Linked DNA regions of Drosophila melanogaster. The protein of the gene in region 3 interacts with the protein of the main gene of each other region in a pairwise test. Each region holds a gene or a part of one and is shown on either strand. Other genes may lie near its edges.

Region 1 (7,293 bases), on a different chromosome or scaffold from region 3:
GCCAGTTGGTTCTTCAAATCCTTGAGCTCCTTCTTGGCGACCTTCGCAATTTCCTGCCGTAGTGCCTCAACCTTTTGTTTACGGTCATTTCTCTCCCCCAGAGGCTTCGCCGGCTTTTCGTCATGGACTTTTTGGTGTCGGATGAGCGCCGCTACCTGGCGAAAGCGATTGCCACACGTCTTACACTCGAAGGGCTTTTCGCCAGTGTGTATCCACTCGTGTTGCTTCACGGATTGCGAGTTGGCAAAGCGACGGGAGCAGAAACGGCACTCAAAGTCCTTGACTTTTTCGTGGACGCTCTTGTAGTGGCGCTTCATGTTGCCTATGCTCTTGAATCCCTGACTGCAGCTGGGACACAAGTACATACCCTCCTTTTGCACAAACTGAATCTCGTCTGTGGGATTCACTGCGGTCCCTGCCAATAGGGCCACATCAACTTGCTCTACGCGGCGGGGATTCTTAGGAATGCTGGCTACGGATTCGGCGTAAACCTTCAGCAGCTGATGTGAGTCCACTTGAGTGTCACTGGCATCGCCATTTACTTGCACCTGTTTATAAGTTTCCAGAGCCCTTTCCACGCTCTTCTCATGAATCTTCAGATGATTGTTGAGACTCTCCGAATGCAGGAACTTTTTGTCACAAACCTGCAAGGCGAAAATATATCAGACTTTGGTAACAAGGGTATAATGGTAATTCCCTTACCTTGCATTCGCAGCGCTTCTCACCAGTGTGCGCCATCTCGTGTATTTTGCAGGCGTATGCTTTCCCGAACGTCTTTCCACAGTACTGGCAAGCAAAATTCCGGATTTTCTCATGTACGATCTTAACATGGCTCTCTAGCACCCGCTTCGTGTGGGTGGCATAGTCGCAGATGCGGCACTTAAACTGGTTCCGTTGGGTGTGGATCAGAATGTGCTTACTCCATTCCTGGCGGGTGGTCTTTCGCACTCCGCAGTACTGACACACGTAGTTCTTGATGCCAGCATGCCGGAGAAGATGATTCTTTAGGGCACTATTGATGTAAAAGCCCTTGCCGCAAATGGTACACGGATAGGGAAGCTCTTCGCCCGTGTGCGTGTACATGTGCTTCTTCATAGCCACCGGGCAACGAAACACCACGCCGCATTCCTTGCAAGACTGTTCACCCCGCGGAGCAATAACCCTCGCCTGGTTGTGAACCTTTTTCAAGTGAATGGTCAGCAGCCGGAGACGGGAAAAAACCAATTGACAGCCCTCCACGGTGCAGGGAACCGTATCCTCCTTCTTGGAGTGCGCATAGTCCACGTGCAAACGCAGTGCACCGGCTGTGGTGAAGCCCTTTCGGCAGCTTTCCTCCTGACACTGAAACGGCAACAGGTCATTGTGGTGCTTCATGTGCTCCTCGAACTTTGATTGCTTTTTGAACTTTTGCTGGCAGATGGAACAGCTCATAAGGCGAAACAGTTTACGCTTGTCGTTCGCAATCCGTCGCTGCCCCATGGCCTGCTCATCGTCGCTGTTGAACCCTTCCGACTCCTTTTTCTCCTCCTCCAGTCCGTTGTGCTCTGCACTGGAGAAGTGCTCCTCGCTTTGGTCCCTTGAATGCTCCTCTAGTTCCTTGTCAACTTTTTCCAGCAACTTGAACACATCCTCCTCGTTGTCAATCATCTCTAGTTTGTTATTCAGCAGCGGATCGAAACTGGCCGGCTCCTCTGGCCTTTCAGGTGCCTCAGAATCATCAGCTATAGATTCGAATACACCCATGGGCATATTCCTCTGGCTGGTCATCATTTCCTTTAGACGTTTAATAGATTCTGCGCACAGTTCGCGGAAGTCATGCAGGTCGTTCAGCTTGGTGAAACATTGGGTGCACAGGTTTCTCGGGAAACCGTCGTTTTGATCCGCATCAAACGAAGTGCACGCCCTGAGCTTCTGGAACAGATCTGGAACCACGAAGAGATCGTGTCCAGCACCATGCTTCAGGTGGACAAGGCAGGTGAGACAAAGCGATTGGACGGAGTACTTGAGCTCCATAGTGCCCATTTCCCTCAATTCTCGGGCAGATAACAATCGAAGCTTCTAAACAAATTTGTTCCAGTGTGACAGGCAGTCTGACCGTTTCGCTATGCCATTAACCCATTACGGTGTAGTGGGGTGGCAAGTAAACAGCATACTTGGATTCTTATTTTTATATTAACTTGTTTTAATGTAAGTGCTTTTTAGCAAGACCATGCATGCGTCTAGTTAAAATACATTTATTTATTATTTATTTTTGACTTTATTTCGATACAGAAATCTTGTACGTTCATTTTCGTATCAAATTTTCTTGATGCCCAGTTTGTATATTTTCAAATGTCGTTGCTTATTATTAAAAGCAATTTGTTTTACATGTTTATATATACATACTAATACAAAAAAATTTGTTTTATATTTTTTCTATATATACATACCATTATCTATATATTGTAAGTTCAGTTTCGTTTTTGTTACTATGGTGCTCAGTTTGCAAAATATTTTTAAAAAACCCTGAAATACTATTTGAAGTATACAAGCAATATCTATTTAATTAAATTAGTTGTATATATATATATTTTTTTTTTTTGTATATTGCAACCTAATTAGAATTGCAAATAAGAAGGTAAGAAAAAACATTGATTGTCCAGCCCTGAAACGCAAAACAACTACGCACTCGGACGAGTAACTCGCTGGCAGAAGTACTTGCTTATTGCCCACTCGCCCGATTGCCAGTCGACGAGTATACAATTTTTTCTGTGTCAATATTATTTTATTGCTTACTGACCGGAGAGAGACGCAAAAAGCTATAGAAAACCGCCCCGATCCGCAGTGCCGATTGCGATTGAAAGCAAGATGAACGAGGGCAGGCAGTACTCGATCCACAGCCTGTGCAGGATCTGTCTGAACCACCTGCAGAACGACGCCGCCTACGATTTGTATCTGGTTCCAGGACTTTCGAAGAAGCTATGCTTCTGCACATCCCTGTCCGTGGAGCAAAACGACGGATTCCCGAAGAACCTGTGCACCCTGTGCTACACCAAGCTGAACGAGCTGCACGACTTTCAGAAACAGTGCGTCGATTCCGTGCAAAAGTTCCAGGATCTGGTGGCCAGCAATGTCTTTGCCTGCCAGAGCAGCTTCGACGTCTTCGATCCCAACGTTGCCGTGCAGGACTACCCGGCCGAGGAAGAGGACCACGTCAACTATGACCCGCTGCTGAACCACAAGATGGAGCTAATCGAGAACGAGGAGGATGTCTTCAAGATGCTGGAGCACGTCGACAAGGAGGCCGAGGAGGTGGAGAAGGAGGCCAAGGTGGAGGAGGATGACGGGGGCAACGTTTCCGTCAAGATGTTCGACGACGATTCGTCCATCGAGAGCGGCAATGACAACGACCACGATCTGGACTTCGAGCCAAATAGCAGCGATGATGACATTCCGCTGGCCCAGCGCATGAGGGGACCAGCTACCGGATCAGGACCCCAGCAGGACCGTTTTAGCAACCTAGACAAACCCAAGCCGAGGCCCCGGGGACGGCCCAAAAAGATAAAACCGCCTCCGCCAGAGGAGGAGGAGTTGAGCGACTCATCCTCCGAATCAGATGACTCCGAAGACGGCACATCGCGGGGCGACAAGCCGAAGAGGAAGCGCATTCCCATCGAGGAACGCCACCTGCACCGCATCATCGACTGCCACATTTGCCACCAGAAGTTCAAGAAGGCCATCCGCTACGAGGAGCACATGAAGTACCACAACGACCTGCTGCCCTTCCAATGCAAGGTGGAGACCTGCAAGAAAGGTATAACGCTGGCTTAAGTATAAATATAAGTATCCGATCTCTATGAAATCCCACCTTACAGGTTTCACTACCGCCAATGGGCTGCGCATTCACATCGACCACGCCCACACAGAGCTGTCCGAGGTTCACGCCTGCATCGCCGAGGGCTGCGGCAAGACCTTCCCGCGCGTCCGTCTGCTCACCTTCCACATGAAGAAGGTGCACGGTATCACCAAGGCGGCTGCCCCGCTTCGAGATTTCCCCTGCACAGAATGCGACACCGTATTCCGCTGCCCCACAGCACTCAAGAAGCACATGTATAAGCACACGGGCGAGGAGCTTCCGTATCCTTGCAATATCTGCGGCAAGCGTTTTGTAATCAATAGTGCTTTAAGGGATCACCTTATGCGTCACGCAGGCATCAAGAACCATGTGTGTCCGTACTGCGGGGTGGGCAAGACGACGCGCCAGGAATGGAACGCCCACATCCTCACGCACACCAAGGAGAAAAAGTTCAAGTGCCGACAGTGCGACCATGCCTCGCACAACAAACAGGCGTTGTCCAATCATGTAAAGGTGGTGCACGAAAAGCGCAAGGACTTTGCCTGCCAGTACTGCGGAAAGACCTTCGGCAAGTCGCACGCCTGCAAGGTGCACGAGAGGAGTCACACGGGGGAGAAGTGCTGCGAGTGCAAGATCTGCGGCAAGATATTCCTCTGCGAGAAGAGCCTCACCAAGCATTTGAAGACGCACGAGAAAAGGGATCTGCCGCCGGCGGAGCCCCTTCGCCAGCAGCTTAACATTCCCATGCCCGGCCAAATGTCCGTACCGATGCCGGGCCAGATGCCGATGCAGATGCAGACGGATGGTTTGGTGCCAATGGACCCCAACCAGATGCCTAGTGAGGACATGCTGAAGGCATGCGGCGGCGGGACCGCTGCAGTGCCTCCCAAACCGAAGAACTCGCGACGCGTCCAGCGGGTGGACATTTCTCAGCTGGCGGGTACTGCGGTAAATCCAATACCATCCGTATCCGTGCCCTCGTGGTCGCCGCAAGTGAACTTCACCAAGAAGGAAGGCCAGCACATCTGTCCAGGCTGTGGGCGTGGCTTCAATAATATTGGAAACATGAAACTTCACTACAAAATCATCCACGAGAAGGTCAAGGACTTTGCCTGTCGCTTCTGCCCGAAGAGATTCTCCAAGGCACAGATTCTGCGGCATCACGAATGGATCCACACGGGCGAGAAGCCCTTCGAGTGCAAGATTTGTGGCAAACACTTCCGCCAGGAGACGGCACTCAAGAAACACATCAAGACGCACGAGAAGCCGAACCGGAGACACGTGCCCGAGCGCAGTGCGCCCACTCAGATCACGTTCCGCAAGCTGGAGCCAGACGCCGAGCCGCGTAACTTTGACCAGTATCAGGATCCGGCGGTGGAGCGGGCAGCGGCCACCGCTGAGCTGCTGGCGCACCAGCTGGAGGAGAACGAGGCCAAGCGGAAGGCGGAAATTGAGCGGCAGAAGATCGCGGCGGCGGCCTGCGAGCAGCTGACGAAGCTGCAGCAGCAGCAGGAGATCATCAAGGCGACCACCTCGTACGATGGCTACTATGCGCAGAAAGCGCAATCCGAGGGCACCAGCCTGGATGCCCTGAAGATCGACCACGTCTAGGCAGCAGGATTGGCTTTACTTTACTAGCATATATGCATCATAACCTAGCCACATCCATATGTATCCACTTCCAATGCAGCTGACACTGTCCGGAAAAGTTGTAGGCATGCCTCGAATTGCTCTCTAGCTGGATCAGATTGTAGGTTTATAGGCACTCCAGATTATTCGAGTGCATATTACAATATGAACACTTCATACTTTTTACGTACTACGTTTATACATACATGCAATATATGTATTATTTTGTTTTCCGTGTAATATCTCCCGTGCTTACTTAGAGTAATGGATTAAAAGTAATATTCATAACGCCATTGGAGTTTCCATCTGGTGGGCGGGACTAAGAGACCACTTTGCAATACCAGTGATTTTTACAAATATATTTTAATAACAAAAAACAAATTTTTTAGCCCGCAAGAACATTAATCAAACCTTAATTTAATTAAAATAAGTCATTTTTAGCTGAAATCCATCTGGATGGTTATGCTGAATTTTATTTCATATATTCCGTTCTTTAAATTTAGACAAATAAAGATGATAATTGATTTTTAATCGAATATTAAGAAACATTTTGCTGAACGAAATGATGTGAAAGGGGGATTTTACTGGAAAAGTTTCTATTCTGCATCCACGTCGAAATCTTCGGATGACCCTTCATTGTCTGAAGGATTATTTGACTCCTAAAACAAATTGGTTAATCTTATGTAATACATCTTTAAAACTTAGTTGATGACTTAACTGTCCAGTTATTACCATCCGTCTGATTCAAATCCATCAAACTTGAGATAATTATCTTAGCTGCCTTCCTGTTTTTGTTGGCCTTCTTCAATGCTATACTCTGCTTCTCCAGGACCTCCTCCAACTCTGCGATCTCCAGTTTAAGCCTATTTCTTCTATTCCCGGCATGTTGCAGTGCCAGTTCAGTGTCCAATACCTTAACTTCAGCTTCGAGAGCTTTTACGGAATCCTTGTCTGGTTGTTGCTCCATTTTTTTTTGTATACTCTTACTCAGCATGACAAATAATAATAAAGCTGCTATAGAAACAATTGATACAACCATATTTATAGACATACCAACGATTTAAGGTATTTTGAAAATCCTTAAAAAATTTATATTTGTTTAAAAATGTATTTAATATTTAAACTAAGACATATGTATTTTTTATTTTAAATTCTCAGACTCTTTGTATTGTATTGATCTAGTGCTAGTATTGTGCTCGTAGCTGTCCGGCAGTCTCACTCGACTGTGTGACTTGACTACGAATACACACACTCGCTGGGTCTAATACGCCCATCGTACCCTCTCCGCTGCGCACATGCATGTGAATGGGAAAAACAAAACAAAACGCCTGAGTGTGGGTGGCGAGTGCTAGAGCTGCGCAGTTTTTCAGCGAGCGTACTCGTCGCTTGCGGGTAATCGATAACCCGAATTGCTGACGAGTGCACACACACACGCACACGCGAGTACACACAAATGTGTGTTGTATTGGATTTTTTTCTCGGCGAAAGAACATTTCGAATTGCTGTGGTTTTCGCGATTTCTGGCTTTCGGGATCGTCCAGCATCGAATTGAGTGTCCAAAATGAATGAGGAGAGCCAGTACTCCATACACACGGTGTGCCGCACCTGCCTGTCCACGGTGGACGACTCGGCGGCCTACGATCTGTTCCGAGTGCCCGGTCTGGCCAAAAAGCTGTGCGTGTGCACCTCCTTGTCCGTGGAGCAGGCGGATGGCTTTCCCAAGAACCTGTGCAATGTCTGCTTCTCCAAGCTGAACGACCTGCACGACTTTCAGAAGCAGTGCGTCGATTCCGTTCAAAAGTTCCAAGATCTGGTGGCCAGCAACGCGT
Region 2 (5,221 bases), on a different chromosome or scaffold from region 3:
CAGCTGCCCTCCGGCTTCAGGCTCTTCACGTCCGTATTCTCGCCTTTTTCCCGAAAGCGCAGTTTGTTGGTATCCCACACCATCATCTCGCCGTCGAGTATGATAGACTCCAGACCCAGCGGCAGAAGTCCCCTCAGCTTTGGCGTTAAGGTGCCGTGATCGTAGCTGTGACCAAAGTTTCTGGTGTAGTCCACTCCATTGCGGGAAATGTACATGAAACGACCCCGATCGATGTGCAGCTGAAAGCGTTCGCCATCCATTTTGGTCTCCAGATAGAGCACATCCGACTGCATCAGCTCCTGGATGTCACCGGGGAATCGTTCGCACAGCATGGGACGTATCTGGTGGAATGGCCGTATGACGGAATTCAGGTTTACAAACTTGACCGCCGCCTTGCTGTCCTTGCTGCTGCTGGCGTCTAGGTCGGTGGTTCGGTCTGCCAGCAGATTGCACACATGTCCCAGATCGGAGCAGCGCTGGTAGATATCCTGCGCCTTGGGGTGCAGCACACCGAAAATCTTTTGCTCACCGATCCCCAGCCCGAGGCTCTTAAGCAGCAACCGAATTAGCCACTTCTGTTCCTCAGGCGAGGCCTGCTCCGTAAACCGGATGAGTTGCTGCTGCTTAACTGCAAAGAGCGGTCTCATTAAGACGTTCAGTCGTTCAGATCAGTTTAAAAGCGCCCACCTTCTGTGTCCTCGTTGGCAATGGTGTCCAGCATCTGATGGATTTCTTTCAGTCTCAAATTGCTGGGCGGATTAAAGCACCTTGGCTTAAGCACGGAATAAACAACATCACCGTAGTCCCGGTACATGTTTCCGTTGCGGTGCTGCAGCCTGATGGCATCGCTGGCTAGTAGAGACAACAAAGAGATTCTAAATAAGCCTAAATGCCATTGCCAATACGTTTCTGCACTCACAGTCCGTGGGTAGCTGGAGCACCCTGATGTAGAGCCTGCCCAGCGCGGTGATCTGCAATCCATAGGTATCCCGACCAGTGTCCGCACCCGGAAGCAGCAGTCGCAGCACGGAATAGAAGCTACTGGCACCGTCCTCCGGCTGGTCGTTGTTTAATCCGGTTTGCCGGCGAAAGGATTCGCGGTGGCGACAGAAGGACTCGTAGTAGCTCTTGAGGACCTCCTCCTTGTTAGCCACCTTTTGCGTGGCCTTAATCTTCTCGAACAGGCTGCAAATATCCCGGAACTTGATCGTGCTGGCTATATCTACGCTCATTTTGTTGTTTAAAAACAATATACTGTTGTAAACAATTTCATCACTGTGAACATCTGTTCAAGCAATGTGACCGCGCTTCTCAATCAAAGTTAATACCCATTTTAGACTAGTTGCAATATTAAGATGCGGACGTTAGTGGCAGAGATTATTTAATTTTTAAGCTCTTCTATTTGGCATAAAATAGATAAAATAGTTTATAGGAACAAGTTAAAATTAGCAGACTATATAAAATACCAAAATTAATCGATAGACTTCTATCAATAACCAAAAAGGCGGCAAATCGTTTGTTTTGGTTCGGTCCACAGTTATTGACTTTTGCTTCACGCTTGGCAAGTTATTCGAGAAAATGGGCAAAAAGGAAACGCGAGCGAGAAAACCAAAAGCTGATCCGGATGCGGAGGGATCTGCCAAGATGTGCAAGGCCTCGGCACTGAAGAAGGTGTTCTTCATGTCGGAGGAACTGCTGCCCAAAGATGCGGACGACGGACACCTTCGGCTGGAGATGTTTTTCCATCCCGGACATGGCAAGGAGGCACTGTTCATAACCCATCCCGATGGCAGAATGATGGAGCTGGTGGCGTTCACGGAACCCCGACGCAGTTGGTTCGTGGACAGCGAGGTCTGCTCCAACGGCAGAATCTACATGACCGCGCCCGTGGATCCCACGTTCCTGGCTCTTCATCACCTCCGAAAACATTGTGCGCAAAGTAAGATATTATCATTCGCTTTCGATGGTATACTATACTATTGTATTCTTGAAAATCTTTAACCACAATCAGGAGCAATATCGCTGGACAACATTGCCGTGGAGGAGGCCAGCACCAGTCGTCTGCTTAACGAGATCCTCGACCCAGGGAACCTTAAATGCGTGGCAGATGTGAAGAGCTCTGGCGAACAGAAGTTCTACAAGTACAACCAAGAGCGCACATTGGCTTGGTTGGCTCTGAAGACGCGCCAGGTGGCGAAGATCCTGAAGGAGAAGCAAGTCCACTGCGGCCACAGTGCGCAGTCGCAGAATTTCGTGCGAAGCGAGAAACTGGTAGCTGAGAACGTTAGCAACGAAATGGACTACACGCGCATGGCTTGCGATTATGTGGGACGGTATTTGGATGCGGATCTGCACGGCTTGCTCACCAGTTACCTGCACATTCCTAGCGAGATTCAGGCGATTGTTGAGGAGAAAGCAGCTTCTCAGAAGCGCAAGTCGGTGGCGGGCAAGAACGAGGGCAGCGACTCCAAGAAGATCAAGCTAAATGAGAGCGATGCTGCTGCCAAGCTAAAGTCCAGCGGTCTAGTGGACAGCGATGGCGATCCCAATGCCACCATCACATCGCCCACAGCGGCGCCTCTGAAGGAGCGCTCGCTGACCGCCAAGGAGAAGGCCCTGGCCAAAGGAGCCAAGGGCACTAAAAGCATCGCATCGTTTTTCAAAGCGAAGTAGATTAACGTTTCACAGATCTTAAGAATAGGTTTTAACTCCTTATTTTATATATATACTCTATTTAATACAAATGTACACTTTTTTTTACAATGAATATAGTACTTTAAAGAATTACTTTTGTTATTTTAAGATTTGTATTCATAAATTTGGTATTTTGAAAGTGCGCCTTTTTGGCGCATGCGCTGTTTGATCATCTCTCTTGATTCCGTTTGGTAAATCCCCATCAGCTGTTGGCGTTGCCAGGCTTCTAAGGAATTGGTTTACTTAGAGGCTTCAGTGCCAAATGTTGCGAATAAAGAGTTTCTTAGTCGACATATTTTTTTAGGTATACCATATAAGCATATTAAGTAATGCTAATTAAACATATGAAATCAGAGTATACTAATAAAACTAACTAGAAACGAAATTAATTTTTGGGGATTCATGCAACACATATGATTTCAATCCTTAGTTCATTGCGCGGGGTGGCAATCCTGGCCGTCAGTTACAAAGCTGCTGGCTCCTTTGTTTCCGTTTTTGTCGCTCAGTTGTTGCTGTGCGCGCTCCCACGTTCGAGGCTAACGGTGAATTCCGCTTTGCGCCTTGATTCGCATTTCGCCACCCCCGTTACCCATTCGCCCGCAACCGAATATCCTGCTACTCCTGCTCTTGTTGTTGTTGTTGTTTTCTATATGCCTTGAATTTTCGGAACAACAATTACAGGGGTTACATTAGTGAATTTTCCCGTTAGCCGTGTGTCCCAAAGCCAGTGCTCAAGTTTAAATTGTGAAAGGCAGAGAAAGGAAAAGAGTGGCGTCACACGAAAGAAAATTTTCTTTGGCGTCGTCGAGGTGTTTGTGCCTTAGTGTGTGTGTATGTGTGTGTGCGAATGTGTTGTGGTTGGTGTGGCATAAGATAAATAATACAATGCAGCACTCAGTTAGCAACAAATTCTCTCTTCTCTGCAGCAGCAGCAACAACAACGGCAGCAACACCAACAATCGCAACGCAACGCACAAAAGCATGCTACGGTAAATTGCATTTGGCGTCTGTCAAGGACAAAACAAAGCGCTGTTTGTGTGAGTCCGACCACAACAACAATAGCAACAACAGCATGTGGTACAAATAACGGAACTGCAAAGTATCAACAGCAAAAGAAGCAAGTAGAAAGCCAGATAGGAAAGCAAAACAAAAGACAGGAACAAATCGCACACGAGGGCCAAAACGGACACAAAACGGAGGCTGCGACAAGAAGAAAGCGAAGAATCGAAGAAAATAAGGGAGAGGCACACACTCCCCGCACCTCCTCCCCTCACCAGCCCCGTAGGACATTTGGCGCCAGTCCGAGCAGCAACTGCGACAGCGGCGTCGACTGAGGCAGCGTCAGCGGCTGAGAAAGATGTGGCTCCGTCCCTCTCCCTCGCACACAAACGCGCTGCAGTGTCTCCTGCTCTCCTTGTTCCTCCTTTTGGGGCTGCTGCCAGCGAACGTAAGTGCCCTTCATTTCATCAATGTTGCAAGCACTCAAACTAGCATAATAACCGAAAAACAACGAAATGTTATGCTGTAGTTAATTTTTAAGCGCATTTTACACATGTAAATTGTCAAGGTGATAAAAATCGCTTGTGAATTCATTTAAAACAAGACACTATACGTTTCACTGCATGCTTTTGGGAACCTTTGTATGTGCGAGCAATTTAAACTTTGGTTTTCAACACTGTAATATTTTGATTAAATACAATTATTGTGCGCTTGTTGCAATTTGGGCCCACGAAACGCCTTAAAAAAAGATAACAGCTAATCTTTGTAAAAAGTTTTTTAAATAAACGCAAGCGCATCCATGTTGCATGCACATTTGAATTTTAAATTGATTGCGATTGCTTTCCCAACGGTAATAAATGCATAGCACACAAACATAAATATGAGCACAAGAACAAGGGCGCAGTACAGTGGTCGCTCGCTATACAAAAACACCACAAAAATAACAAGCTGTTGTTTATATTCTTTATTTATTGGCAATGACAATTTCAAAGGTGTATCGACAAAAAGTGGAATACATTATTTTTTATCATAAAAAATGTGCAAATATTTCTCATGATTAAACGAATAATATATGCAATGTCTTGTTCCATTTTCCCAGGTGTCTGCCAGATTTTGCGAGGGCTGCACTCAGGGCTGTTGCACCCAGGGCTGCTGTCCGCCGTACCAGGGCGGGCCACGCCCCCTTCCGCCCTCCTCGGACTCGCATGTTCTCAATCTGTTCTTCGCCACCCACTGGTTTTTCTGGTGAGTAGTGTTGACCCGGAGAAACTCCTCCTTTTGGAAACTTCTCTGTCTATCTAACTTATCTATTCGAAATTGTAAAATAATAGGAATCTTTCGGAGACAGTGATTCTTTTAATTGCGCAAAGTAGAAGTGATTTATTTAGCTACTGCGATGGTCACGGTCATCATGAATTGCACTGTTTTTGTTTTTGTGTTTGGGGATTCCCCGGAGGTCGTCTGCAAGGCCGTTCAATGAGGCGGGTTTTTGGGGCGTTGGAATGGTGGGATGGATTGGATGGCGTGG
Region 3 (5,889 bases):
CGGAATTAGGCCCTTTCAGTGCGAGTAAGAAAAGCTTTAGCTCGTCAATTGTACAATCTGATAGTTAACTGTGTAACATTGCTCTCATGTAGACTCTGCCCCGCCCGCTTCCTGTCCTCCGGTGAGCTGAAAGGACACCAAGTGATGCACACTGGAGATCGCAAGTTCCAGTGTCGTTACTGTGACCGCACCTACGTCAACTACAGTGGTCGCCTGCGTCACGAGCGGACCCACACAAATGATCGACCCTTTATTTGTGCGCAGTGCGGCAAGAGCTTTACCAATTCCTACATCCTCAAGAACCACATGCTTATCCACACGGGCGAGCGCCTGTTCAGGCTAGTAAACTATGATAAATAGTGCTTAAGTTAATGATCACCTAGCCGATCCTTTGCAGATGTGAGCTGTGCCATCGATCCTTTGCGCGACCCACCCACTTGAAGACTCACTTCCGCTCTAACACTCATAAGCACAACTTGGAGAAATCGATGGCAGACGCGGGTGGAGTTCAGCTGTCACCATCCCAGTCAGCGGATCAGGTCAAATTCGTGACGGAAAAGGAGCCAGAAGCAGAGGCGGATGCCTTTACGATAGAAGTGCCTTTGCCCGCGGAGCAGGAGCAGGATGAGTCTTTGGGCCTGGCTGCTCTGGAAACATCCACTCTAATGTATAGTACAAACTAGACCTTAATGAGTCCATCTCAACCTTTAAAGCCAAATATAGTTCACAATTTGATTATCCGTTTTGATTTTTTTTGTAAAAATTCCTATTTTGGTAATGCAACCGTTTTCAACTAAGAGCTTCTTAAGTGATACCTTTTAGGGTTTATCAAAGATTGTGTCTGCTTTCTGCATGTTTCGTCTGTGAGCATTTGAACGATAATGGGTAGTAAGGTGTGTGTAGCGACTGAATAACTTATCGCAGAGGTCGCACCTGCAAATAGAATAGATTATTATTATTACACTTAAGTACTATTTCGAGTACCCGCTTACCTAAAAGCCTTCTCCCCGGTATGCACGAGCATGTGGTTCTTAAGAATATAGGATGTTGTGAAGGCATTGTTACACTCCTTGCAGACAAAAGGTCGTTCGTTAGTGTGAGTCCGCTCGTGCTTCAACCGAGTGCTGTAGTCAGAAAAGCTGCGGGAACAGTGTCTGCACTTGAAGGGCTTTTCCCCGGTATGCTTGCGAATGTGACGCTTAAGTTCCGCCGGCGTGCAGAAGCGATCCTCACAGAATCTTAAATGAAGCGGATTAGTTAGGATCAATCTTAAGTAGAATTGCCACTTACTCGCACCCAAACTCCTTGACGCCGCGATGTCGCTTACAATGCAGTATGAATGATATTCGATCTTTTATGTGATTTCCGCACTCCTCACAAAAGAAGGTCCTATTGGAGTCGCGGGGATTTCGACGATTTCTCCTTTTTTTGGGATTCTCAGAGTCTGATTTGAGTTCCTGCTTTGCATCTACTTCAGTATCGCTTTCGTAAATAAGGTAATCCATTTCACTATAATCAATATCGTCCTCATTATTGGGCTCGTCTTCGTTGATTTTAGATTCATTTAGAATGTCCTCCACTTTAAAACCGGAGCTTTGAATGGGCCCTTCATTGAGATCGTCTAATCGCTCGACTTCTATGCTTATTTCTGCCAGATCCAGTTCCAACTCCTCCTGCTCAAGGACACTTTTGGGAGATTCCTGGCAGATTCTAAGGAAGTCTTCATCATCTTGGGAATGGAGCAACTCCCTTTGGACTTCCAAACAGCGTTCCCTAAAGGATATGGCTTGTTGCAAACAAGTTTGGCAGGACGCACATAGTCGATTTGGCAACGTACTACAGTTCTTTAACTGTAAAGAGAAAAAACTTTAGAAAGTTAAAGACACTACGCATTATTATCCTCTCACCACAGCTCCAGTTAGTAGTTTGATGTGTTCCAGCGTAGTTTGATTGCGCTTTTCAAAAATATTCAATGATCTTTCAGCATTCGTGCGCTTGCCGCAAGTGCGACACACTTTTCCTTCCATTTTTGAGCCGATAAAAAAGTTTGAAACGCCAAACTTTTTGTAAACAATGCTATGCTTGTCAATCAGCTGTTCCGTTTGCCATTCGCATGGAAGCAATTTTTACAGATGAAATAAATGCTCATAAGTTGGGATTTGAAGTTTTGATTTATTATTCAATATTAAGTTCTACATATTACAATTGGTTTGTTAATTATTTGCAGAAATGCTCCTTGGCTGTGCGCCATTGTCGGTCTAGCATTGCCTGTAATTGCTATGTATATATTATAAGGACAGCTTTAGATGTGCAGGCTGTCCTCCTCCTCCTCCTTGAGTTCACGTTTCTGCTCCTGCTCCAGGACCTGTTTCATCTCGGCTTTCTCCAGATGCCGCTTGTGTACGCCAGACCGGAAGTGGGTGCTCAGGTGGGTGGGCAGCATAAAGGACTTGTCGCACAGCTCGCACCTTGAGGGGAAGATTCAGTATTAGATGGCATTTCAAACATTTCAGTAACTGTACCAGTATCACTAGTTTCATATTATTATAAGAAATTATTATAAGATAACTAAATATTACTCACGAAATTTGGCAACATAAGTAATATTTAGTTATCTTAACTCTCATAAGGTTTTGGAAAACTCTTGTAATGCCGCATAATATGATCTTAGAATTTCTAAGAAACCTAGTTATTGGGTTTCCCGGTACTGTGTAGCTGTATGACTCAACGTACCTGTAGGCCCGCTCGCCGGAATGTATCAGCATATGGTTCTTAAGGATGTAGCCGGTAGTGAAGGCCTTGCCGCAAGTACCACAGACGTAGGGGCGCTCATTGGTGTGGGTACGCTCATGCTTCACGCGCGTGGTGTAGTCTGTGAAGCAGCGGCCACAGTACTTACATGCAAACGGTCGCTCTCCGGTGTGCTTGCGCATGTGGCGTTTCAGCTCGGAAGTTGTGCAGAAGCGCGACTGACAGAGTCTGAAAATAAATCCATTTAGTCATACTGTATCCAAAAAGGAGTAGAAATGTACTCACTCGCAGCCAAATTGCTTGTCCCCACGATGGCGACGACAGTGAAGTTCAAAGGCCATGCGTCCCTTGATGTGATTGCCGCACTGCTCGCAGATGTATACTCCGCCGGTGCCACGACGACGCGCATCATCCGACCGGACCTTTGGCTTTGGCGGCAGACTACACTTCTTGACGACAATGTTTTCATGCTCGTACTCATCATCCAGCACGTTGTCAAGAACGGCCACCTCATCATCCGAATCGTAGACGTACGCGTCGTTGACGTCGCCCACAATTAGCTCGGTGTCTTCGTCCAGCTCCAACGTTTGCTGCTGCTCTTCGTCTTCGGCCATTATGGAATCATAGTCGGCCTCTTCAATCAAGGAGGCTGCGTCGTCCTCGCCGGCGTGTCCCTCGGCCACCTCGTAGTAGGTATTATCGTACTCTACCTTGGTGTCGTCGATCTCTTCCTTAGGTTCTTCCAATACGATTTCCTGATAAGTGGCATAGACCTCATCATCGTCGGGCGTCTTCACCGTCTGGACAATATCCTCGCCCATGACAGCCGCCCGGTAGAAGGCCGAGATGCCTTGGCGTTGCTCCTCGGTCAATCCCAAGAGTAGCTCACGCTGGGCGGCGATGCAGCGCTCCCTCAGCTTAACGGCGGAGGCCAGTTCCATGCTGCAGCATTCACATATCTGATCCGGCAGGCAACCGTAGTTCTCCAGCTAGATTAAACACCAATAAATTAAGCTATAACTACATAAATTCCATAAAGCCGCAGTGAAAAATTTACCCGAAGGCCTGTGAGCGCCTCAATGTTGTCGATCATCTTTGTGTTGCTCCGCTCGAATAACTTCGGCGACCGCTTGTTGCTTGCATACTTTGCGCATACGCGGCAGGTGCTCTTTAGGTGTTTCAGCGCCGATTTCGACATTTTTCATTCGCAATCCGAAATGAAATCGTTTTTAAGATATTTGTGAACACAAAAAATAAACGCGTCGCTTGTCAACTGCATTTGCCATTCACCCGGTGTTTCGTGTTAATATTTGCCATTCGCCCCGAAATAAACATATTTTCAGTGGCGTAGGCAAAGGGGTTCATATGATGCCAAAATATATATATATCCTCGAAAATGAATTACTTTGTTAACGTTAGTATTATATATTGCTTTGATATTTAACGGATTTGCATATTTATTATACTCCAATAATATCACATATAAATTTGAATTAATTTGTTTTATAATTTTAAATTTATAAAATTATAAATAAAATCTTTTATTTAAATCTTTAAATTAAATCTTTTTTATAAATTAATTTCTATAGAGCTGCAAGCGAAACGAAATATATACAGTAGAACAGGTTCTAAGCTAAAGTCCCTGGAATTAGTACAGTTTCTTTGGTGTATTTCATCCCTGACCGGCTACGTCCATGTCATGTTGGCAAGCAGCTGTCAGGAATGCCGACAACAACAACCACGACGCTATGGCGAACTTGGAATGGTAATTTATTTATTTTCCCCCGAAAATAAACAAATAAGCATTGATAACCATTTCTCCTGACTGCAGGGTGTGCGTGCCGCGATGCTACGAGGTCCGGAAGAATTGCCTGACTGGGCAGGCCACGCTGGAGCATCCCCTAAAGCAGCGGACGGTGACGGTGGGTAAATGGTACAACGCCCTTATCTGTAAGTGATTTTAATGAAAGAACAATCTCCACCAGGTGGTGGACAGCAATCCCTTGAGCCGAGCTCTAGAGGGCACAGATCCGCTCTCGCAGTTTGCACGCCAAGATGATGAGCTCAACGATCCGCTCAGTCAAATGGTCAGCGAATTCGTAAGTAGAGTGGTGCACCGGCAAGGAACATGACTAAGTTTTTCGCACTTGGATGTTCAGGATCTCAAGTCGAAGCGTCGTGAACGGGACCGAACGGAGCCCGAGGACAACACACTGCAGTGGAGCAGCCGACGACTAGGCATCCTCAACCGCTTTACAACCAATGAGAAGCTATCGCTGTCTACCAGCTTTCTGGTGTCATCTGGTAGCCTGGATGGCGGCAACGAAAGCAGTAAGTTCAGTGGTCGGTTGATCTGTGATATATATTAACAACAATCATAGTTAAAGCACAAACGGTGGTGGCCGACAAGACAAAGTTTCGCTTGGAGCAGTTAGACCACTTCGACGATGGCAGCATGCGTCACATGATGGATCTTACTCAGCAGGAGTACATTCAGCGGTTTGAGCAACTCAAGCAGGAGCTGATCCAGTCCTGGCACAACGATCAGCGAGTAAAAGCGTTGAAGATAGCCATACAGTGTGCCAAAATGCTAGCGGACACCACTGTGCTGCAATTCTATCCGAGTCAGTACGTTCTTATCACTGATATACTGGATGTTTTTGGAAAATTGGTATACGAACGACTGCGTGCTAAGGCCTCTGGAGATCCTGCCGCATCGGCGGCCACATTAGAGCGGGAACGGGAAGCTGCCCGGGATACGTGCCAGAATTGGTTTTATAAGATCGCCTCGATTCGTGAGTTACTGCCGCGTTTTTACTTGGAGCTGTCAATATTCAAGTGCTACGAGTTCCTGTCATCATCGCGCGAGGAGTATGAGCGCATTTTGCAACGTTTGACCCATCAACTGAGGGGTATAGCTGATCCTTTGGTATCGAGCTATGCCCGCTGCTACTTGGTGCGCATGGGCGTTACCCTAACGTCGAGTAAGACATACATAAGAGAGAACTTTGCCGACCTGTTCCTCATATATCCTCAGGTGAGACCGAGAAATATTAAACGTTTAATCACTTTTACTACAAATTTAATACTTTTAAAGATCTTTCGCTTCGTGGCCCGCTTTAATCTGCATCCGGAAAT
Region 4 (5,751 bases), on a different chromosome or scaffold from region 3:
TCTCTCCGCCCAGAAACTTTTCGCATTGCGTGCTGGCCGGAGGAGGCGTGGAGGTGCCGCAGGTGGAGCTGTGGACGGGCAGGGCTTTGCCATTTGGTTCTGCCACCAAAGGTGGCTCCTTCGTCCTGTCAACGCGCTAACTTTTTCGCCGAATTTTCCTCTTGAAACTTCAAGCTAAATTGATGTTGGGGTCAGACAGCAAGGGTGCAAGGGAAAATTGAGCAGTACCAAAAGCGCAGAATGGAGGTAAATCTGTCTATATTTACTTGAAGAAATCTATGTGTAATCTATTAATATACAACCGAAAAATAACCAAAATATGATTTCCAAAAGGGCACTCTTATTTGTTGATCGAAACAAGACCTTCTAAGAACTAATTAAGACTTACTTAGCACTGATTACAAATACTATCTGCCCACTTAATTGATCCGATCCCATGCCACATTTAGCTGTGAACTGAAAAAGTTGCAATATATCGAAGTATTCAGAGCTCCTCCACCCCTGGATGCGGTTATCTACTGAGTCGGAGGAACCACAAGTCCCTGCTGGCGGGCATTATTTTTACCTCTTTCAACTACTCGACGCGCGTACGACCAATGATACGTGGTTGGTGTCCGTACCTGATCCGCAAGGTGGTCACGTAATGCTCCGCAGTTGGCGAGCACTTGGCAAAGTTAACGGGCCAAAGTTGGAGCTCAGAAGTTTGCTCCTTTGGGGAATGCACTCGCTGCAGTAAAAGCAGAGTGCATGCACCTCCTCGGATGGGGCACACTTAATTAGAATATCGGGCATTAATCTTATGGCTAATGCCACGATGAGATCGAGCGATATCGGTGGACAGGCGCAAAATTGCTGTTGGCCGCATGCACCGCTGCGCCAAACCCCCCAACCACTTTCCTTTGGGCTCACAGGGCTATGTGCCGTGCATAGCCGTACAAAATTATTTGATTCTATTTTTTCAATTTGATTTCAATGAAATCCACACGACAGCGTCAACATTTATAAGATGTATAAACGCAAGTGCTTTGGCTGCATTTTTGAGTGTGACAACATTCGGGCCACACCATCTATGGACTGAGTGGGGGCCCAGAAGAGCATTGGCACCAATTTCTCTTACTCGAGCAGGGAAAAGCTGCCTACAAGACCAAGATAAAGAACTTGGGGGAAAGGCTGGCCACTACATTGCATTGTTCACGGGTTGTTCTTGTTGCTGCGCCGCCGTTTTGCGGGGGTTTATTTATATAAAAACTTAAAAATATATCTACAGATGCCTATACAAGTCCTGGCGCATATTTCGATATGTTCTCTCCTCTGTTCTTTGTCGAAGTCATAGCAAAGTTGGCAGCCAGACATAATTTAGCGAAAACGAAATGAAACTAAGTGATAAATGGTATTTGGGAATGGAGCAAATTGAATACTCTGAACGAACGCAAAATCCCGATAATGCTCTGACTAATACGACTTAGGGCCTGATGGAAATAAATTATTCTATCAAAAAACGGAGAGCCTATTGTCAGAGCTTAAATCGAAGCTCGTTAGATAAATCCATTTGTTAGCTTTGGCTTAACACATTCTGTCATTTGATGCTTAAATTAAAAGTAATTGGAATACCCAATTTTGCTATTTGTCAAAAAAATATATCTATTGTGTATATTTGGGACTATTGCCATTCTAAAACAATATATAAAATAAATATAAATATTTATATTATGTATGTATATTTATGACTATTGCCATTCTAAAACAATATATAAATATCAAAACTATCTAGCCTAAGCCCAGCGTTCCAATAAATTATTTATTTTCCCAAATTTCACAAGCTTATAAGTGTGTGCGGATTAAAATTCTAACAATATAACAAGACTTACAACTTACAAAACAACTTATTTTATATTGAAATCTAGTACCAATTTAGTTGCTCTAAGTTGTGGCTTAACTAGGGTTCTTTAATTCGTAATCCAACTTGTTGCCGTAGGCGTAATACCCGAAATCAGAACACTTTTGTGAAATCGAAATGATGTGCATCCGACCACCCTCCCCGGAAACGCCTGATCCCCAGCCAGCGTTGCATATCGCGGAATTCATCAACATGTTACTAGATGAACAATTGTTCGAGATGACAGGGACATGGGCGTGGGGCCGGCGGGGCGGGACAGAACTTATTTAAATGCAGCTGCCGGAGCGCATAACGAATCACTCTGATCGCTGTCGCTGTTGGATTTACACGTCGTGAGTGTAGTCTTGTCCGCCCATCCGAAATCCGTAACCCGCATAAGGGATAACCGATCTGTCTGTATCCTTGTAGTGCCGCCCGCACCAAACTAACCAAACATGTGTGACGAAGAAGCATCAGCCCTGGTCGTAGACAACGGCTCCGGCATGTGCAAGGCCGGATTCGCCGGAGACGACGCGCCCCGCGCCGTATTCCCCTCGATCGTAGGCCGTCCCCGTCACCAGGGCGTGATGGTGGGTATGGGTCAGAAGGACTGCTACGTGGGCGACGAGGCGCAGAGCAAGCGCGGTATCCTGTCGCTGAAGTACCCCATCGAACACGGCATTATCACCAACTGGGATGACATGGAGAAGGTCTGGCACCACACCTTCTACAACGAGCTGCGTGTGGCCCCCGAGGAGCACCCCGTTCTGCTGACCGAGGCTCCCTTGAACCCCAAGGCCAACCGCGAGAAGATGACCCAGATCATGTTCGAGACGTTCAACTCCCCGGCCATGTACGTGGCCATCCAGGCCGTGCTCTCCCTGTACGCCTCCGGCCGTACCACCGGTATCGTCCTGGACTCCGGTGACGGTGTCTCCCACACCGTGCCCATCTATGAGGGCTATGCCCTGCCCCACGCCATCCTTCGTCTAGATCTGGCCGGTCGCGATCTAACCGACTACCTGATGAAGATCCTCACCGAGCGCGGCTACAGCTTCACCACCACCGCCGAGCGCGAGATTGTGCGCGACATCAAGGAGAAGCTGTGCTACGTCGCCCTGGACTTCGAGCAGGAGATGGCCACTGCCGCCGCCTCCACCTCCCTGGAGAAGTCTTACGAGCTGCCCGATGGCCAGGTAATCACCATCGGCAACGAGCGCTTCCGCACCCCGGAGGCCCTCTTCCAGCCATCGTTCCTGGGCATGGAGTCCTGCGGCATCCACGAGACCGTCTACCAGTCCATCATGAAGTGCGACGTGGACATCCGCAAGGATCTGTATGCCAACAATGTGCTGTCTGGCGGCACTACCATGTATCCAGGTGCGTAGTCTTAATTAATTAGGACCATAAAGTTCAGAGGAAATTCTTCCGAGGGAATGGGATCAAAACTATGCGGGATACTTAAAAAAAAAAACAAGTGTTACTTTATACATTCATTTGGCAGAGAGGAAATCTTTAAATAATAAAGCCTAAATATTTAGCTGAGCTTTGTAATAACAGTTAAAAAAAATCTTATGGAAAGTAGTATTACAAAAAAAAAAAAAAGAATTCACCTAATGGGTTATATCCTTTCCCTATATCTCATATTCATGCATGCTATTATTAAAATGTCATGTAATGAGTACACCAAAGCTCCTCGGTTCTGTAGCACCACTAATGGATTCTATTTCTGTCCTCTTCAGGTATCGCTGACCGTATGCAAAAGGAAATCACCGCACTTGCCCCGTCCACCATCAAGATCAAGATCATCGCCCCGCCAGAGCGCAAGTACTCCGTCTGGATCGGTGGCTCCATCCTGGCTTCGTTGTCCACCTTCCAGCAGATGTGGATCTCCAAGCAGGAGTATGACGAGTCCGGTCCCGGCATCGTCCACCGCAAGTGCTTCTAAGCATCCAAGCCACCCAAACCAGATCAACATCTCCTCGAGCGCGGCCCTGGTGTTTGTCTCCAGCGTAAGACATCCGACCAGGCGCCGGCGCCAAGGGTGAGGACGCAGTTCAGTGAAAAGTATCTTTAAATTACATTTAGTTGATGAAGAAGTTTTAACATAGATAGAGAAAACAAGAGAAAGAGACGAGAAAAGACCGGAAACGAGCGGCAACGCCTTCTTTTTTTATTATTATTGCTATTTTTATTTGATTTGACTCGGAATTTGTACTGCTTGACTCGCTTGCCAGCGCGTAAAGTGGCCAAAACAATCGGTTGTACGTACAATAAAAACCAATAACCCATGTGAATCGAACCCAAGTCGAACGTCACAGGAGCAGCAGGAATGCGTGGTGGGGAAACTTTTTTAATTAGGCCTCGACGAATGTCAATCAGGCACTTGCCGGCCAACTTTTATTCTCTAACAGCTGCCATGGCAATCCCCCAGTACGGGTATCTGTATCTGTATCTGTATCTGTATCTGTATCTGTGCATCTATCCCCCCGCATGCTCTTCTGTCACATTTTCACAAACCCAGATGGATTTTCCACACGAAGAGAGGTTGCGAGGAATGACTTCTGGAGGACTGAAGTCGGAAATACAAGGAGCAGCGACAGTCTTAACTGGAGCCCAACTGCTCACAGAACTTTTCGCCAACATAAATGTTTGTGCTCAACTTTTGGCTGCAAACTTTTGAGGTTTCGCCAAACTATGCATAAACCAGGTGCCGAAAACTGTTGCTTAATTAGTTAGGGCCAAGCTTGCTGGAGTCGCCAAAGAAAAGAGTCTAACTGGGTTTATTGGTCTAATGTCTGCTGCTAAGTCGTCAGTAACACGGAAACTCTTCTAATGACTAGGGAGCACGTGCATTCTTGATGTTTTTGGGCACCCAAAATCTTGCCCCAAAACCTTGCCAATTATGATTTTAGAGATGCAGTCCTGGGGATTCTGGCACGTGTAGATATCAATTGAACTTTTGTTCCATGGTCCTTGCACCAACGCCACTGCTCAGCGGTCCATGGGTCATTGGATCCAAGTGCGGTTCATTATCCGCCGTCCAGCCAGGGAGAGCGGAAACAGAGAAATTAGTGCGGCACGTTGGCGTACAACTAAATGTTTGGCGGACTGGCTGGTCCGAAATGATAGTAAAGGCCTGGCTGGAAATCGCTACTCAATCAATCAGTGGTCGCAGCAGGTCAACAAATTTGGCCATAAAGCCCTAAAACTGAGGGGTTAATAGCTAATGGGTCGATTTGGCCCACACTCAGAGAAGTCACTAGAATGCACATTTATGATTCCTGGCTAAATTTTTATATATTTCTGTGGTTAAGTTAACTTATGTGAGAAAGAACAATTCTTTAACCAATATCACAGTTAACATTAATAATAACATTTTTGCAGATAATTTTAGTAAAAGTGGAAATAGAGTGGAGCTAAAATTTTTTCTTCTTTTAGTGCAGAATACCAGGCGGCCGAAAAGTGGGCCAAAATCCGTTCTCTGGTTTCGTATTGTTATGCTTGCAGCACTTGTCTGTACATCAAATTGAATTTAATTACAGCCCGGCCAGGGTTTTCGTGCTCCCCCGGAGTCATCCACATTCTCGGAGTAATGCTGCGTCGATTGTTTGTTTGTATGTCGGTTTCAGTTTGCGGAAATGGTTTTGCATTTTGCATTTGCTGCCATTGCAACTGCAACTGCAACACCGAGCTGCAAGTTCTGTGCAAGTTCTGTTTATTTTATGCTAATTTAATACACTCGCCCTATCAGCCGGCCCATTGATACCATTATAATTTGGTGTTAATTCCGAAGGCAAATACTTCAATGTATTTGCCATTTTCATTATGCAGATTTGCCCAGGCGCAAAACAAACAAGCTGGAATTAAAGCCC

The links.
Region 1: the proteins of M1BP (region 3) and D19A interact in a two-hybrid assay, tested with the Drosophila melanogaster proteins (one large-scale study listed by BioGRID).
Region 2: the proteins of M1BP (region 3) and CG11164 interact in a two-hybrid assay, tested with the Drosophila melanogaster proteins (one large-scale study listed by BioGRID).
Region 4: the proteins of M1BP (region 3) and Act79B interact in a two-hybrid assay, tested with the Drosophila melanogaster proteins (one large-scale study listed by BioGRID).

Annotation. Positions count from the first base shown.
Region 1 is NT_037436.4:6,184,534-6,191,826, reverse strand, and holds D19A (D19A), read left to right. Parts: upstream 1-2,703; 5' UTR 2,704-2,847; coding exon 2,848-3,793; intron 3,794-3,854; coding exon 3,855-5,446; 3' UTR 5,447-5,997; downstream 5,998-7,293. Other genes in the region: CG7386 (uncharacterized protein), read right to left, coding at 1-644, 703-2,013; CG43293 (uncharacterized protein), read right to left, coding at 6,061-6,123, 6,183-6,431; D19B, read left to right, coding at 7,026-7,293.
Region 2 is NC_004354.4:13,666,509-13,671,729, forward strand, and holds CG11164 (uncharacterized protein), read left to right. Parts: upstream 1-1,505; 5' UTR 1,506-1,578; coding exon 1,579-1,939; intron 1,940-2,011; coding exon 2,012-2,673; 3' UTR 2,674-3,065; downstream 3,066-5,221. Other genes in the region: DNAlig4 (DNA ligase 4), read right to left, coding at 1-628, 688-852, 920-1,232; CG15760 (uncharacterized protein), read left to right, coding at 4,052-4,141, 4,793-4,938.
Region 3 is NT_033777.3:8,727,634-8,733,522, forward strand, and holds M1BP (motif 1 binding protein), read right to left. Parts: upstream 4,066-5,889; 5' UTR 3,950-4,065; coding exon 3,809-3,949; intron 3,741-3,808; coding exon 3,037-3,740; intron 2,980-3,036; coding exon 2,734-2,979; intron 2,469-2,733; coding exon 2,303-2,468; 3' UTR 2,157-2,302; downstream 1-2,156. Other genes in the region: CG8159 (uncharacterized protein), read left to right, coding at 1-24, 93-338, 398-683; ranshi, read right to left, coding at 819-933, 993-1,238, 1,291-1,850, 1,908-2,027; CG8202 (uncharacterized protein), read left to right, coding at 4,500-4,516, 4,583-4,673, 4,737-4,850, 4,911-5,082, 5,133-5,788, 5,849-5,889.
Region 4 is NT_037436.4:21,983,020-21,988,770, forward strand, and holds Act79B (actin 79B), read left to right. Parts: upstream 1-2,190; 5' UTR 2,191-2,229; exon of another isoform or gene 2,230-2,305; 5' UTR 2,306-2,331; coding exon 2,332-3,256; intron 3,257-3,618; coding exon 3,619-3,824; 3' UTR 3,825-4,171; downstream 4,172-5,751. UniProt on the Drosophila melanogaster protein: Actins are highly conserved proteins that are involved in various types of cell motility and are ubiquitously expressed in all eukaryotic cells.